Caenorhabditis elegans: one gene and its partner. The protein of the gene in region 1 interacts with the protein of each later gene in a pairwise test. Each region holds a gene or a part of one and is shown in the gene's direction. Other genes may lie near its edges.

What was found. The genes of interacting proteins can lie anywhere in the genome.
Region 2: the proteins of csn-4 (region 1) and gcl-1 interact in a two-hybrid assay, tested with the Caenorhabditis elegans proteins (one large-scale study listed by BioGRID).

What each region holds. Positions count from the first base shown.
Region 1 is NC_003282.8:1,082,854-1,090,367, reverse strand, and holds the start of csn-4 (COP9 signalosome complex subunit 4), read left to right. Parts: upstream 1-3,354; 5' UTR 3,355-3,360; coding exon 3,361-3,440; intron 3,441-4,058; coding exon 4,059-4,144; intron 4,145-5,599; coding exon 5,600-5,760; intron 5,761-7,334; coding exon 7,335-7,514. Other genes in the region: cct-8 (T-complex protein 1 subunit theta), read left to right, coding at 253-487, 1,081-1,434, 2,366-2,556. UniProt on the Caenorhabditis elegans protein: Component of the COP9 signalosome complex (CSN), a complex involved in various cellular and developmental processes.
Region 2 is NC_003282.8:13,406,477-13,414,862, reverse strand, and holds gcl-1 (BTB domain-containing protein), read left to right. Parts: upstream 1-1,967; 5' UTR 1,968-1,973; coding exon 1,974-2,171; intron 2,172-3,227; coding exon 3,228-3,314; intron 3,315-3,358; coding exon 3,359-3,805; intron 3,806-4,952; coding exon 4,953-5,221; intron 5,222-5,268; coding exon 5,269-5,341; intron 5,342-5,386; coding exon 5,387-5,532; intron 5,533-5,579; coding exon 5,580-5,850; 3' UTR 5,851-6,538; downstream 6,539-8,386. Other genes in the region: Transcription factor aptf-2, read left to right, coding at 1-483, 532-875, 932-1,187; Y62E10A.19 (Neuropeptide-Like Protein), read left to right, coding at 6,701-6,868, 8,246-8,386.

The sequences.
Region 1 (7,514 bases):
ATCTAAAAAGTGTGATTTTCTGCCTGAAAATTACATTTTGAACTGAAAAATGTGATTTTTCGGGTTGGAAATTCGGTTTTAATGCCAAAAATTGGACTTTCCTCAGCTTACAATATGATTTTCGAGCTCAAATATACATTTTTCAACAGAAAATGACAATTTTCAGCCAGAAAAATGTGATTTTCTTGCTAAAAATTCAATTTTTTACGCCCAAAAATTCAATTTTCCCTAAAAAAGTTCCCTATATTTCAGGTTGTCGTCGCCGCTGGAAAGTTCGGAGACATGTACCTCCATTTCCTGAATAAATACAAAATTATGGCCGTCCGTCTTACATCAAAATTCGATCTTCGCCGCCTCTGCCGTACCGTCGGAGCTCAACCACAAGCAAGAATCTGTGCTCCAGCTGTTAATCTGTTGGGACACTGTGATTCTGTGGCTGTTCAAGAGATTGGAGACGAAAATGTCGTCGTTTTCGATAAGAAATCGGGTATATAATGTGGAAAAACTGAGAATTTAGGAAATTTTGACCCCCAAAACGGGAATTCTCCGATTTTTTGTAATTTTTAGCTCTGGAAACCTTTTAAAAAAACGATTTGGCGAGTTTTGACTCAAACAAGTATGATTTTTACAATGTTAGACCAAAAAATTCGGAATTTTCGACGGTTTTCAGTCGAAAATTGTGATTTTCGTATAAAACTGCGGAATTTGATGAGCTTAGACCAAAATTTCTACCGTTTTTACCTGAAAATTGTCACTTTTTAATGAATTTTTATTTCAAAAACGGCCTGTTTTTGAAGATTTGGACTCCCACGAGGTGTTTTTCACCGATAATTTGCCATTTTCTGTGAATTTTCACTTGAAAACTGAAATTTCAGCTGAAAATTCCGGTTTTTTACTTAAAAATTTAGATTTTTGAAAATTTTGCAAATAAAACCTCAAAATTTGAGCTGTAAATTCCCAATATTTTGGCCAAAAATTTACCATTTCAGCTGAAAATGTTAAAATTATCACTGAAAAAGCCAATTTTTAGCCAAAAATTCAAATTTTCAGCTTCAAATCTCAATTTTCTCAAATTTTCAGAAACCGGAAAAGTCGCCACAATCATAATCCGTGGATCCTCTCAATCTCGTATTGATGACGTCGAAAGAGCTGTCGATGATGCTGTAAACACCTATAAAGCTCTTACAAAAGACGGGAAATTGCTCGCCGGAGCCGGAGCCGTCGAAATTGAGCTCGCCAAAGAAATTGAGTCGTTTGGAGCAAAAGCACCTGGTTTGGAGCAATATGCAATCAAAAAGTTCGCCCACGCACTCGAAACTCTTCCAAAAGCTATTGCTGAGAACGCTGGAATGCCAACCACTGAAACTCTGACAAAACTCTACGCGGAGCATGTTGCTGGAAAGAAAAACGCTGGAATTGATATCTGGAAGCGGGGTACGGCTTGAAAAAACCCAATGAAAGCACTGAAAATTCGAAGAAAATCGAATTTTCGGTTTAAAATCTGACAATTTAGGTCGAAAAATGACTGGAAAACTTTAATTTTTGACTGAAAATTCAAAATTTTCTGCTGAAATTTACCGAAAACATTTCTAACTGAAAATTTGAATTTTCACCGGAATTCCGCTGTTTCTGCTGAAAATCTAACAATTTCGGCTGAAATTCGCCGAAAACCTAAATTTTCCACTGTAAATCCAATAATTTAGGTCGAAAAATGGCCGAAAAACTTGAATTTTACCTGAAAATGTGCATTTTTGACTGAAAATGTGACCGGAAACATCAATTTTCTTTTGTTTTGCTTCACTTTTTTAAAGTTTTCTTCAGTTTTTGCATTAAAATAACTGATTTTTCACAGCTGGAAACCCTCACAAAACCCGGAATTTTCGCTAAAAATAGGCAATTTTCAGTCAAAAGTCAACTGAAATTCTTCCAAAAAACGTCAAAATTTCCAAAAAAAATCCCCCAATTCCAGACAACACATTCAATTTTTGCTAAAAATTCCAAAAAAAAATATCAGCAAACTGACAGAAAATTTTCAAGTTTTAATCAAAATTGGCCAATTTTCCTTTTGAAAAACCTCAACTTTTCGGTTCAAGCTCAGAAAATTAGCTGAAAATCCGAAATTTTCAACTGAAATTTCTTTAAATCAACTCAAAAATGCAAAAAATTGAATGAAAAAATCGAAAACTCAGCCAAAAATCGGCCATTTTCAACTCTGAAAAATGCCAAATTTTCAGGTAAAAATTCCTCAAAACCCCCCGAAATTTTGGCTAAAAATGTCAATTTCCAGCGCATAAAACTTGTAAATTTTCAATCAAAATTCTGAAAAATCCCGAATTTTAAACTAAAATTCCTTCTTTTTTTTCAGAAACAATGGACGCCGTCGTCAACAACATTTTCGACCTCTACGCTGGAAAACGACTGGCAATTAAGCTCGCCACAGACGCCGCCAGCACAATTCTCAAAGTTGATCAGATTATTATGTCAAAGCAGGCGACTGGAGGACCAAAACCACGTGGACCAAAGGCTCAAGATGAGGATGACGATGGAATGGCCTAATTTTTTTGTGTGCATTTTTGCTGAAAAATTGGGGAAATTTGAGTGAAAATGAGCTGAAAATCGATTTTTCAGCGAAATTTTAGACAATTTTCCCCCACTTTTTCAGATTTTCCCCTCGAATTTCCCCGCCGTTTCCCTGGGAATTGAGCTGAAATTGCAATTATCTTGAAAATTCGCTTAACAGTTTTTAGCTCATTTTCCACCATTTTTCCCCGTATTTTTTAAATTTTCCCGCTCTATATGCCTTCTCCGTATGATTTTTTGCAATTTCCCCGTTTTTATTGATTTTCGCTGGAAAATGAGCTGAAAATTCGATTTTTGCTTAAAAATTAATTTTTTTTTTTTAACGCGAAAATTCAGTTCCAAATTTACTCGATTTTGGTCAAATTTAGCTAAAAATTTGCATTTTTCAGCCAAAATTTTCCAGTTTTTGCCAGAAAATGGGCTTAAAATTGTCATTTTCTTCTGAAAAATCGAACTTTTGCCCCATTTTCAGCCGAATTTCAGCCTTTTTCCTCCAATTCTCCATAATTTTTAATGCTATCCCCCAACCCGTTCTGAATCTGAAAATCACAGTTTATGATCTTAAAATTGCGCCTTAAATTCTATAATTTTCAGCTTTTCCCCCTCGAAATTTTGTTTTTTTTTCTCGTTTTTTGCTTCACGTTGTGTTTGTTATAAAATTCTCCAAAAAAATCACAAAAAATTAGAAATTTTAAAGAAAAAATAGTCGAATTTCCTATATTTTTATCTGAAAATTCCCCCCAAAATTTTGTTGTAAAATTTCCACAATTTCAGCTGAAAATGAGCGGCGAAATTGAACGTTCACAGGAGGTGGCGGTCATTTTTGCACAGGATACCGATCACAAGGCTCAATATGAAGCGTAATATTTTTGGATTTTTGAGAAAATTTGGAGCTAAAAATGTGAAAATCTGGAAATTTTTAGCAAAAAATCCCAAATTTTTGTATTTTTCATTGGAAAATCTGAATTTTGTAAATTTTCAGCTGAAAAAATATGAAAAAAAAAAAACGATTTTAGCTATGTAGAAATTTTGAAAAAAAAACGAATTTTCACGCAAAAACATTTCCTAATTTAAAAAATTAGTAAAATTCGCGAAAAATTGAAATTTTTATCTTTTTTTTCCAGAAAATCTGAAATTTTCAAATTTTTATACTTAAAATCTGAAAAATTCTATTTAAAAACTCAAGTTTTCATTTATTTTCTACGAATTTTGAAATGAAAAATTCTTACAAATCCCGCACTTTTTTCGTTCAAAAATTGGAAAAAAACTAATTATTAGCTAAAAAATTTCCAATTTTTGTATCAAAAAACTCGAAAATTCTCAAATTAAAAAAATTTTTTAATTTTTTTGCTGAAAATCACGCTAAAAATTTCAGCTTTTTCACGTAAAATGTGATTTTCTGAAATTTCATGTAATTTTTTAGCTAAAAAGCCGAAATTTTCTCGATTTTCAGACAAAAAATTCCCCGATTTTTGCAGATTGGCGAAGCTTTGCAACAAATATTTGCCACAAAATGCGATGGGACGAGTCGATACGGCGGAAATTATTAAAATCATTGATACAGGTTGGAACACGACGAAAATTTCGGATTTTTCAGTGGGAATCTGGCTAAAAATTACGAAAAATGATGAGTTTTGGTGAAAAAATGGACGAAAATCGCTCAAAATTGGACAATTTGGTTGGAATCTGGCTGAAAATCGATAAATCTCGATAAAAATTGACGGAAAACGAGAACATTTTCGGAATTCCTGTTGAAATTTAGCTGGAAATAAATAAATTACATTGAAAAAAATTTTTTTTTGAATTTTTGGAGCTGAAAATTGGCAGAAAATCCGATTTTTTCAGGAAAAATCTTTAAAAATTTACATTTTTTTTTACAAAATGGACTCAAAATTAGCTTAAATCGCTCAAAAAAGGCTGAAAATTCCATATTTTAAGTGAAATATTTTAAGTGAAAAATATGGAATTTTCAGCCTTTTTCGAGCGATTTAAGCTAATTTTGAGTCCATTTTGTAAAAAAAAATGTAAATTTTTAAAGATTTTTCCTGAAAAAATCGGATTTTCTGCCAATATTCAGCTCCAAATCCAAAAAAAAAAATTTTTCAATGTAATTTATGAATTTTCACAAAAATCCAATTTTTCGTTCGTTTTCTGCAGTTTTGTTTTTTTTTTTTGAAAAGTTAAAAATTTCCTTTAAAAAACGCGAAATTTCCAATTTTTCACGGTAAATGTGATTTTCAGCCAGTAGTTTTCAACCGTTTTTTCGCGGGAAAAATTGAATTTCTAAAGATTTTCCTCGAACAATTCGATTTTTCCGGTATAAAAAGCGACCTTTTACCGATTTTTCACAGAAAATTCAGATTTTGAGCCTTTTTCACCCTCAGAAGCCAAAAAAAACCCCCAAAAATTGGATTTTTCTTGAAAAATTTGAATTAAGAAACTCAAATTTTCAAACCGTTTTTCCACGGAAAAAGTGCGTTTTTCAACGATTTTTCTCGAAAATTCTCAATGTTCTGCGTTTTTAAGCGATTTTCAGCTGATTTTTCACGAAAAAATCGAGTTTTCAGGGATTTTGATATATTTTTCTTGAAAAAATCGGATTTTCAGCTGTTTTTTCCACGGAAAAAGTGATTATTTAACTTTTTTTCCAGAATAATTGGATTTTCAGCCAATTTTAGGCTTAAAATAGGGCCTTTTAACGAAAAATGTGACTTTTAGGACATTTTTCAATTTTTCGCATAAAATTAAATAAAAATGGAATTTTTTTACCATTTTTTTTTCAAATTTTCAGGTTCAAAATAAAGCTTTAAAAAAGTGGAAATTTCTAGTTTTTAGGCTTAAAATAGGCTTCTTAGACGAAGATTTTCAAGCTTTTCGTTAAAAAAAACAGGAAAAAATTAATATTTGTATAAAAAAATTGAATTATCAGCTAAAAATTACAATTTTTGCACTGTTTCAGTGCAAAATTTGTATTTCTTTTAGAATTTTTAGCAGCCTATAACCCCAAAAATGTTTGCAGTAATCGCATTGGAGACTGGAAGTATGGTTGTATCACGTCAATTTGTATCACTTATCACTGAAAGATTGGATAATCAACATTTGGAATCAGAATGTGTTAAGGCTATTTCAGAAGGAATTTTGGCGATTATTAAGACTCGAACCATCTCTTATGAGGATCAGGTACTTGGAAATGCACTGCAACTTTTTCCTCACGAGGGACGAGGAACAGTGGTTTCTAGGCCATGGCCGAGGGGCCGACAAGTTTCAGCGGCCATTTATCTTGCTTTGTTTTCCGCCTGTTTTCTTTCGTTTTTCACAGCTTTTTCCCGTTTTTTCTTATTAAAACTGATAAATAAATATTTTTTGCAGATGATAAAACAATTTCGAAGTAAAAAAATTATGTATTCAGTGGGCAAGCAGCGGTGAAAGTGGGCATTGTAATATGATGGATTACGGGAATACAAAACCTAAATTTTTTCTGAAACATGATACATATGATGCTTAGATGCTGAAGCTACCTGATTTTCATATCAAGACCGCTGAAAAAGTTTTGAGGTTTCCAAAATTCAACTTTTTGTGCGAAAATCTCGACTTTTTCACCAAAAAAGTTGAATTGTGGAAATCTCAAAACTTTTTCAGCGGTCTCGTTATGAAAATCAGGTAATTTCAGCATCTAAGCATCATATGTATCATGTTTCAGAAAAAGGTTAGGTTTTGTATTCCCGTAATCCATCATATTGCATTGACCACTTTCACCGCTGCTTGCCCACTGAATACATAATTTTTTTACTTGGAAATTGTTTTAGCATCTGCAAAAAATATTGATTTATCAGTTTTAATAAGAAAAAATGGGACAAAGCTGTGAAAAACAAAAGAAAACAGGCGGAAAACAAAGCAAGATAAATGGCCGCTGAAACTTGTCGGCCCCTCGGCCTTGGCCTAGAAACCACTTTTCCTCGTCCCTCGTGAGGACAAAGTTGCAGTGAAATGGAGCATTTTGCAGAAAAAATTGAAAAATTTGAAGAAAAACGAACGATTTTATGGGATTCTGCGGAAAATTTGAAGATATTTGAAAAAAAAAATTCGGAATTTTTGGAGTTTTTTAGCAGAAATTCAAAAAAATTTCGATTTAAAATTCAGGATTTTATGTGATTTTTCGGAAAAATTTTCAATCGTTTTTTTTTTCCGATATTTTGGGCTTTAGGCTCAGGCTCAGGCTTAACCCCTTATTTATCGAGAAAAACGTTATAAAATTGAAGAAAAATTGAAGAAAAAGGGCAAAATTCTGGAAAATATCGAAACTCTTTTCAGTTTAAAAATAAAAAATTATTTCACCTAGAAAAATCTAGAAAAATTGAGTTTTCAATGAAAAATTGTGAAAAATGGAGGGAAAAAAGTAGAATTTGGCGTAAAATTCTAAAAGAAATACAAATTTTGCACTGAAAAAGTGCAAAAATTGTAATTTTTAGCTGATAATTCAATTTTTTTATACAAATATTAATTTTTTCCTGTTTTTTTTTAACGAAAAGCTTGAAAATTTTCGTCTAAGAAGCCTATTTTAAGCCTAAAAACTAGAAATTTCCACTTTTTTAAAGCTTTTTATTTTGAAACTGAAAATTTGAAAAAAAAAAGGCAAAAATTCCATTTTTATTTAATTTTATGCGAAAAATTGAAAAAAATTGGAAAAATGTCCTAAAAGTCACACATTTTTCGTTAAAAGACCCTTTTTTAAGCCTAAAATCCCAATTTTTCAGGTCTGTATCCTCCGCCTCATGCTTGCAAGCCTCTACGAAAAAGAAGGCCGTATCAAGGACGCGGCCCAGGCCCTAATCGCAATAAATTCCGACACAAGCCCGAAATTCAACGGCCCACAAGCGGCGAAAGAAGGCGCCAAGGCCCAGCTGTGCATTCGAATTACGAAGCTTCTTCTCGAC
Region 2 (8,386 bases), about 12 Mb from region 1:
ACGCTCAACTCTACTGTTCCAACGGAACCCGTGGTGGGACCTGTGGAACCTACAGTACCTACAGTACCCGCCACAAAAGAGACTGGCCCTTCAAGCTCTGCAGAGTGCTCTACCCAACCCGCCGTTGCCGAGCAAGAAGACAACTCCCTTTTGGCACAACTTTTAAAAGGAAAAATCACGTCTGATGATGCAAAGTTGCAACCACCACGTGGACCTTTCGAATACGCACCGATGCTCTCCGAGGAGGCACAATTTGCGATTAAGCTGGCGGGTCTTCTCAACCCGAATCCGGTCACTGAACAGGACCCGAGCACTTTCAAGCCGCCTCCGAAAATGAGCAATAATGTTCGAAAAAACATTAATTTGACTCCGGTTATTGAGAATGCAGTTCCGAGTGGATTTGAACTGGAAAGTCCGAAAGATCAGGCATTTGATGTGGTTCATGGAAGACTATCTATGGGACAGAATCAGACATGTTATTTTGTACGTTTACGGTAGAAGTTCAATATTAAAATTTAAATAATCTTCCAGGTCACAGTCGAGGAAATGAGACGAAGATTGCAAAGTCCGGAGAAGCTCAATAGTTCGAGTATCGCATGCAATCTTAAAAGGCCAAAACTGAAGAATGGAGGTGAACTGATGCGCGCTCAACTGAGAGATCATGGAATCAAGGTTCAACTGAATGCGAAACAGAAGGCTTTTCCCAACAAAGTGATCGCTTTGGTCGAAGCGGAAGCTGTTCATTTGGGACTTGATCTTGGAACAGCTGTACGAGATGATTATCCAGTTCAAGATATAATTCAAGAAGTTGCTCATGAAGCATTGGCTGACGAGGATGCAGATCTGGATGCGTTGATGAATGATAAGGATTTCACGTAAGTTGACTATATTCCAATTTCTCAATTCTGACGCCAAATTCCAAATATTTCAGAGAATGTATGTCAGCACTTGAATCAGTTTTCACATCAGTCGTCCCTCCGATCACTGGAATCGAGCCAAAACCGTCGAACAACATGCGACTGAACAATGGAATGGAGACCTTTTCATCAGCTTCACATGGACTTGGAATCGTGTCTCAACGGGTTTGGCTCCCCCAATTGACTGCAATCGGAAATGGAGTCGCATCTGAACTTCGACGCTTGACAGAGACGCCAACTGAATCAAAGCCAGAGGAATTGAAAGCATAAATTCATATTTTCATATTCTGATATTTAAAACAATCTGATTACCAAGGTCTCACTTATTTTCCATGATCTCTATGATGTTTTCACTTAATTTCAATGAAACTTTTTATTTATTTAAATCCTCATACGATGTTCCTTAGTACTAGGAAATGCATCATTAAAAATGATTTTCATATTGCTAGTACGTCTTATAGAGTAGCTTCGAATTCACTTTATACATTTGAATAATATTGAATTTTATAGGTTTTACACATCATTTTGATCATTTTGATGTGTAAAACTTTGAAAAATTCATTATTATTCAAATGTATAAAATGAATTCGAAGCTTCTCTATAAGACGTACTAGCAACATGAAAATAATTTTTAATGATACATATTCCAAAACTGAAAATTAGGAATTTCTTTACCCCCGTTCCTCACGTGAAAACATTTATTGACCCTGTGGCAATGTGCGCTTGCGCGTCTGCGTCTCCAGAAGGCGTAATCTCTCGTGTTCAAACACTTTCTCAACTGACCATTTGTTTGCGTCGTTGCCGACGGCTTAACCATATGTTGCCTTTTCCCCCTTACATTTATACAAGACAGTAATATTAATAAATCGGTTTGATCTACAAAAATGCGGGAATTTTTTGGTCAAAAAATGTGACGTCAGCACGTTCTTAACCATTCGAAATCAGTTGACAGCTCTGCATCTAAATTCCCGCATTTTTTGTAGATCTAAGTAAATCCAGCTGAAATGAGCCATCTGACACCACGTGATTTACTGAAACATTATTTTCCAGTCAAAAATGGGATTAGCTCAGTCCCACTCGCGGACGCCCTCTCGTGATCCACTTCCAAATGACCATCAAGTAATGGATGTGTATGAAGAGTCTGGTCCAAGACGGGGAAGAAAACGAAAAGCGGCAAAAGGAAGTGAGATTGAGATGAAGAAAGTGGCAAAACTGAACACATGTGCATATGTATATCAGAAATTGTTTTTACAGGTTAGAATAAATTGAATTTTTAGTGCAAAATGGGTAACTAAAATATGGAGTTGACTAAATTAATGCAATAAAATTCCAAAATGAATGTTTTGTTTCAACAAATTTGAGATTTCTTCGTCACGAATCTGGTAAATTGTGTTTTTTTTTAATTTTGTAACATGGAAAAAGAAAAAACTGATTATTTAGTTCGAAAACCTACATTTTAGTATTTTTTCACTAATTATGCCAACTATATACCGTATTTCCTCTATTAGTCTTGCATGCAAGAGAAAATTGCCAAAATTGTTACTATTGTGCTGAAATTTTATTCTCAGAATTTTTAAAATTACAGGCAAAACAGGGCCACTCGTAATTTTGAACGTCTACCAAAAATTGATTTTTACTATGATTTTGGAATTTTTAAAATTCCGGAAATATCGTAAATTTTTCCAAAAGTCCAAATTTTTTGAAAATTTGACATTTTATCAAAGATTTTTTCGGCGTTTTTCAATTGAGACATATCTTTTTTTCGCATTTTGAGTATGCAATTGATGAAAAATTTCAGAATTATCACAAATTTCAGTACAAAACAGTTTAATACTGAGAAATTAATTTTTTAAAAACTTAATTTTCACAGGTATGTAGTTTCAGAAATTTTCACTCAATCAGAGGTGCGCGACAATCGAGTTTTCGGCAATTTCGGAAATTGCCAAACATTTTGAAACCCAGCAATTGTCGGAATTGCCGGAAATTTCCAAAACCGGCAATTGCCGAAACTGCCTATTGCCGAAAATTTTGAAAACCGGCAATTATCGGAATTGCCGGAAATTTCCAAAACCGGCAATTGGCGAAATTGCCGGAAATTTTGAAGACCGGCACTTGCCGAAAATTTCCAAAACCGGCAATTGCCGTAAATTTTGAAAACCGGCAAATGTCAGAATTGCCGGAAATTTCCGATTGCCGCCAAAAAACTATGACCATAATTATTTTGAAATTCCTTTGTATAATTAGTAGGGAAAGAAAACAATTCAATTGAAAGAAATTTGGAAATTTTCTCAAATTTCGTTATTTTTTCAGGGAGAAAATTCGGACATTGTCCTGGCTGCGTGTGGCAGGGAATGGAGGGTTCACAAGCTTTATCTAAAGCAGACCAAATTTTTTGAAGTGAGTTTTTTGAATTGTTTCAAATTAATTTCGAATGCTTTTAGTCAATGTTCGATGGTTTATGGACAGAGTCGAATAGTGGAAGAGTTCAGATGGAAATAACAGATCCGAATATTGACGCAGATGGTCTAAACTCGGTGCTCGGAAGTCTATATCACAATGAGATTGAGATAGATTTGGATAAAATCGAGGGAACTGTGGCAGCGGCTTCATATATTGTACTTGATAGTGTCACAGATAGATGTTCAGAAATGATGATTGAAGCATTAAGCACAAAGAATGCAGTTCGATTCTACGATGTTTCAACTAAATATGGTCTGGAGAAGGTTCGAGAGAAATCGATGGAAGTATTGTTACACCAATTTTGGAAAATAATGACTGATAGGGAGAAGCTCAATGAAGTTGATCGACAGCTTTTTGTGACGCTTCTCAATTCACCCAATCTTTTGATAATTGAAGGCGAATTTGATCTTTATAAAGTTGTTAAATCTGTAAGTCATTTCTCATTCCCGAAAATTTAAAACCGAATTTTAATAATGAGGCTTCTCAAAAATTCGAAAAAAAGTCCAATTTTGCTAAAATCAGCTGGTTCAACAATGAAAAGTTGGCGAAATTTGGCTCGAATTTTTTGGGGGCCAGTATGAGTATTTTAAAACAGTGAAAATTTTTACACTTTTTCACTTTTAATTATCAATAGCAGAAACTAATTCTTCCTAGAACTACAGTAATCCTACACTGCTCCCCAGGGGAGCGCGGCAATTTCCAGAATTGCCGGAAATTTTGAAAACCGGCAATTGCTGGAATTGCCGGAAATTTTGAAAAGCGGCAAATGCCGGAATTTCCTAAACCTTCCGAAACCGGCAACTGCCGCAACTGACGGCAACTGGCAACTGAAACTGGCAATTGCCGGAATTGCCGATTGCCCGAAATTTTGAAAGGCAGCAAATGCCTAAATTGCCGGAAATTTTGAAAACCGGCAAATTCCGAAATTGTCGATTGCCAGAAATTATGAAAACCGGCAATTGCCGGAATCGCCTAAAATTTCCAAAACCAGCAATTGCCGGAATTTCCGATTGTCGGAAACTTTAACAACCGGCAATTGTCCGACTTGCCGATTGCCGGAAATTTTGAAAACCGGCAATTGTCCGGAATGGCCGGGAATTTTTGAACACCGGCAATTGCCGGAATTCCCGATTGCCGAAAGTTTTGAAAACAGGCAATTGCCGGAATCGCCGGAAATTTCTAAAACCGGCAATTATCGGAATTGCCGATTGCCGAAAATGTTGAAAACAGGCAATTGCCGGAATCGCCGGAAATTTCCAAAACCGGCAATTATCGGAATTGCCGATTGCCCGAAATTTCCAAAACCGGCAATTGCCGGAATTGTCGATTGCCGGAAATGTTGAAAACAGGCAATTGCCGGAATTGCCGATTGACAAGAATTTTGAAAACCGGCAATCGCCGCAAATTTTCACATCTACAACACTACTACGAGACCCCGACAACTCATTATTCAAACTACAGTACCCCTACAGTAGCCCTACACTAAACCCAACCCTCCACTATTTCGAAAGACAAATTCTAATTTTTTCTGACTATAAATAAAAATTGTATTTTATATATAGAAAATGATTACAGTGGATCTACATGCGAGAAGTGCCCGATTGCTGCAAGGATGACAGTCCAGAGACTTTCACTCAAAATGCTTCCAAATTTTTCAAAGAATCGAAAACTTCAATGTTCATAAAATATGCGGATATCTTTGCCAGTCTACGAATAGAACAGTTTTTGACATGTTCTGAAACTATAAAAACAGTCAAATCAGATGCATTAATTCCGTTGTCAATTGTTGATGAAATGACGTCAGCACTTTGGTCATCACTTTTAGAAAATGAAGAAAGTCCAAAGTAAGTTCGAAAGTCGACAGAATAGTGATAAACTTTGAGCTGTTCAGAACACTTGAAATGGATGATGATGAGTTTTTTAAACGATGTATTAGGCTTGGTAGATCATTGGATTCATTCCCGGTTAGTTACTTATTCGAAATCTAAAAAATCTTTTTAAAATTATAGAAATGCTGGCGATGGATAGGATTCAATTTCGGAGTTGATCTACTTCTTCATGTAAACGACTATTCTGTATGTATAAAACGAAATTGTCTCAACCAAAAAGCTCCGTATTCGGTGAACTTAAAGTCTAAACATGTTCTACATTACCGGTAAGTTGTTGGTTGCCACGATTTTCAAGATAAATAGTCAAATTCAGACTGGTCATTTGCGACTCAAATGGTCAAATCCTCTATGACAGTGGAAAAACCACGTGGGAAATGAAGCCAGATGAAGCTAGAACAATCTATCGAATGAGTGAAGACTTGGCAACTCAGATATCAGTTCACTTTCAGTATCTGATTCATCAACCGATTTGTAGTACAGGTCATTATGTGAACAAGTATCTAGATGATCAGAATTCTACTGATGATGAAGACGATGAGGAAGAAGAAGATGATGATGGAGATGACGAAGAAGACAGCTCGTAGTTTTCAATTATCGGAGGACTGACGGTTCGGACGATTTCAAACTTATAGACCCAAAATGTGCTCAAATGAAAGAATTTCGTAATGAAACTTCTCAAAAATTTTTCAAAGATTTTTTTATGGCGGTTAAAAAATTAAAAAAATATTACACTGAATTTAGCTAAAATCCCGAATTTTGGCCACTTTTCCGTATCATATCTGTCCGAAGTTTACTTTTTCGGAATTATCATCCTTTATTGCATATTTTGGTACTTTATCTTATTTAATTTCGTTTATTAAAGTACATTTAAAGGCGATAGGTAACCAAAAATCATCGAAATTGGCTAACTATCGGCTTAAATGTACTACCAAAAAATGCAATAAAGGATGATAATTCCAAAAAAGTCAACTTCGGACAGATGTAACACAGAAAAGTAGCCGAAATTCGAGATTTTAGTTAAAATCAGTGTAATTTTTTCGAAATTTTGAACCACCATAAAAATTTTTTGAAACATTTTTGAGAAGTTTCATTACGAAATTTGTCCATTTCAGCCCATTTTGGGTGTATACGTTCAAAACCGTCCGAACCGTTAGTCCTCCTATAAATGTTTTTTCTTGTGCATTATGTATTAGAACCCAACTTGTACATCTATGAACATGTAATATATATCTATGCAACATAATAATAATAAAAACAATTGCATCTATATCACTGACTAAGTATTTTGAGTGTGTCTCAGCCAGTTCTCAAGGGCAGAACCTGATATATATATATTGATGGGTGACTTCACGCTGTGAACTTTCGATTATTTGCCGATATATTTTGCCCACCTTCACACAACCCTTCACGCAGGACTTCTTTAATGAAGCGAACATGATCCGAATAGCCTTTGCCGTTCTTATTTTAGTTTCGGTGGTTACCACACAACCACTGCTATTTCCGCACGGATGGTTCGAAAGCAAGAATTTACGACCGCGAGATGCAATTATGCTGAACATGATGGCACAGTCGAATCTTGAATATGGAGGTGTAACCTTAGAGGTAATTGGAATAGTGTGCGTTTAGTCATTTTTTACAAGAATGTAGGTTAAAATGGCCCAAAAGACCAAATTTAACAATAAGACTTTTTTGAAAATTCCCAAAAATGTTTCAAAATTTCGATTTAAATTAATTCAGTCTGAACCTAGAATTTTGCTTTTTTCAATCACAGATAACGAATTAATTATATTTTTGACGGGGGTATTTGAATATTAGGTACTTGTGCATTACATGCCCTCATTTTCAAATTAAATTAAATTGTCATTAATTTCTCCAATTAAAATAAACGTGATATACATTTTTCCTCTTTAGGCTTAGAAAATGTTATTTTCTAAGCCTAAAAATACAAATTGTGGTTCACGTTTTTATTTTTCATGGCTTAAAAAATTACTATTAAGATGAGGGCATGTAATACACAAGTACCGAATATTACAGGAACATTTAAAATCTGAGAATGCGTATTGTGCAACATATTTGACGCGCAAAATATCTCGTAGCGAAAACTACTACAGTAACCCTTTAAATGCCTACTGTAGAGCTTGTGTCGATTTACTGATATCATTTTGTAATCGATCAAAAATATTGTAAGAAAACAAAAAATGGCATTAAAAACTATTTTTAAAAAATTGGAAAGCGGAAATTTTTCGATTGTTCAATTTTCCGCTATTTCGAAAAAATCGATTTTTTTGAGAAATAGCTTAAAATTTCGGTATTTTTCTTTTTTATATGAAAAATATATATTTTTCATGTTTTTTCTCATCAACATGAACAAAATTTGGTTAAAAAATTATATTTTATGGTTTATTTTATTTTCCGAATAATCGAACATTTTTCATTTTTAGTTTTCCCTGGAAAAATCAGAAAATCGTTTCGGAAATCGAGCCCGTTAATCGACACAAGCGCTACAGTAGTCACTTAAATTATTACTGTAGTTTTCGCTACGAGATGTTTTGCGCGTCGAATATGTTGCATCCTCAGATATTTGTGTTCCCGTAAAAATAAAAATACTTACAAAATTGGAGATTTTACCTAAATTTTAGTCCACAATAAATTTTTACACGATTTCAAAGAAGTCTCGTTATAAAATTCTGTCTTTTGGGACCATTTCGAGCACGTTTTAAAAATCGGCGAAAAAAATTGAACCCAAAATAACGTGGTGCCAGAGTGTCCCATATTGGTTTGATCTACGTAGATCTACTAAAAATGCGGGAGAAGAGACGCAGGCTTCTCAACTGATTTCACATGGTTGAGAGCGTGGTGACGTCACATTTATTGGGCAAAAAATTCCCGCATTTTGTGTAGATCAGCCCGTGATGGGACAGTCTGACATCACGTGAAAATGCGTCAGTATTAGAAATACTATAGAACTCTACATTTTAGGAGCTAGACAAGCTTGATGCCGTTCGAAAGCAGATTCCTCGTCCAGAAAAGTTAGCAAGAGATCGAGAGGAAGACGATGTGGAGCTGGATAGACAACCAATTTTTACAGCGGAAGGTGAAAAGATTGCAGTTGAGAAGAAG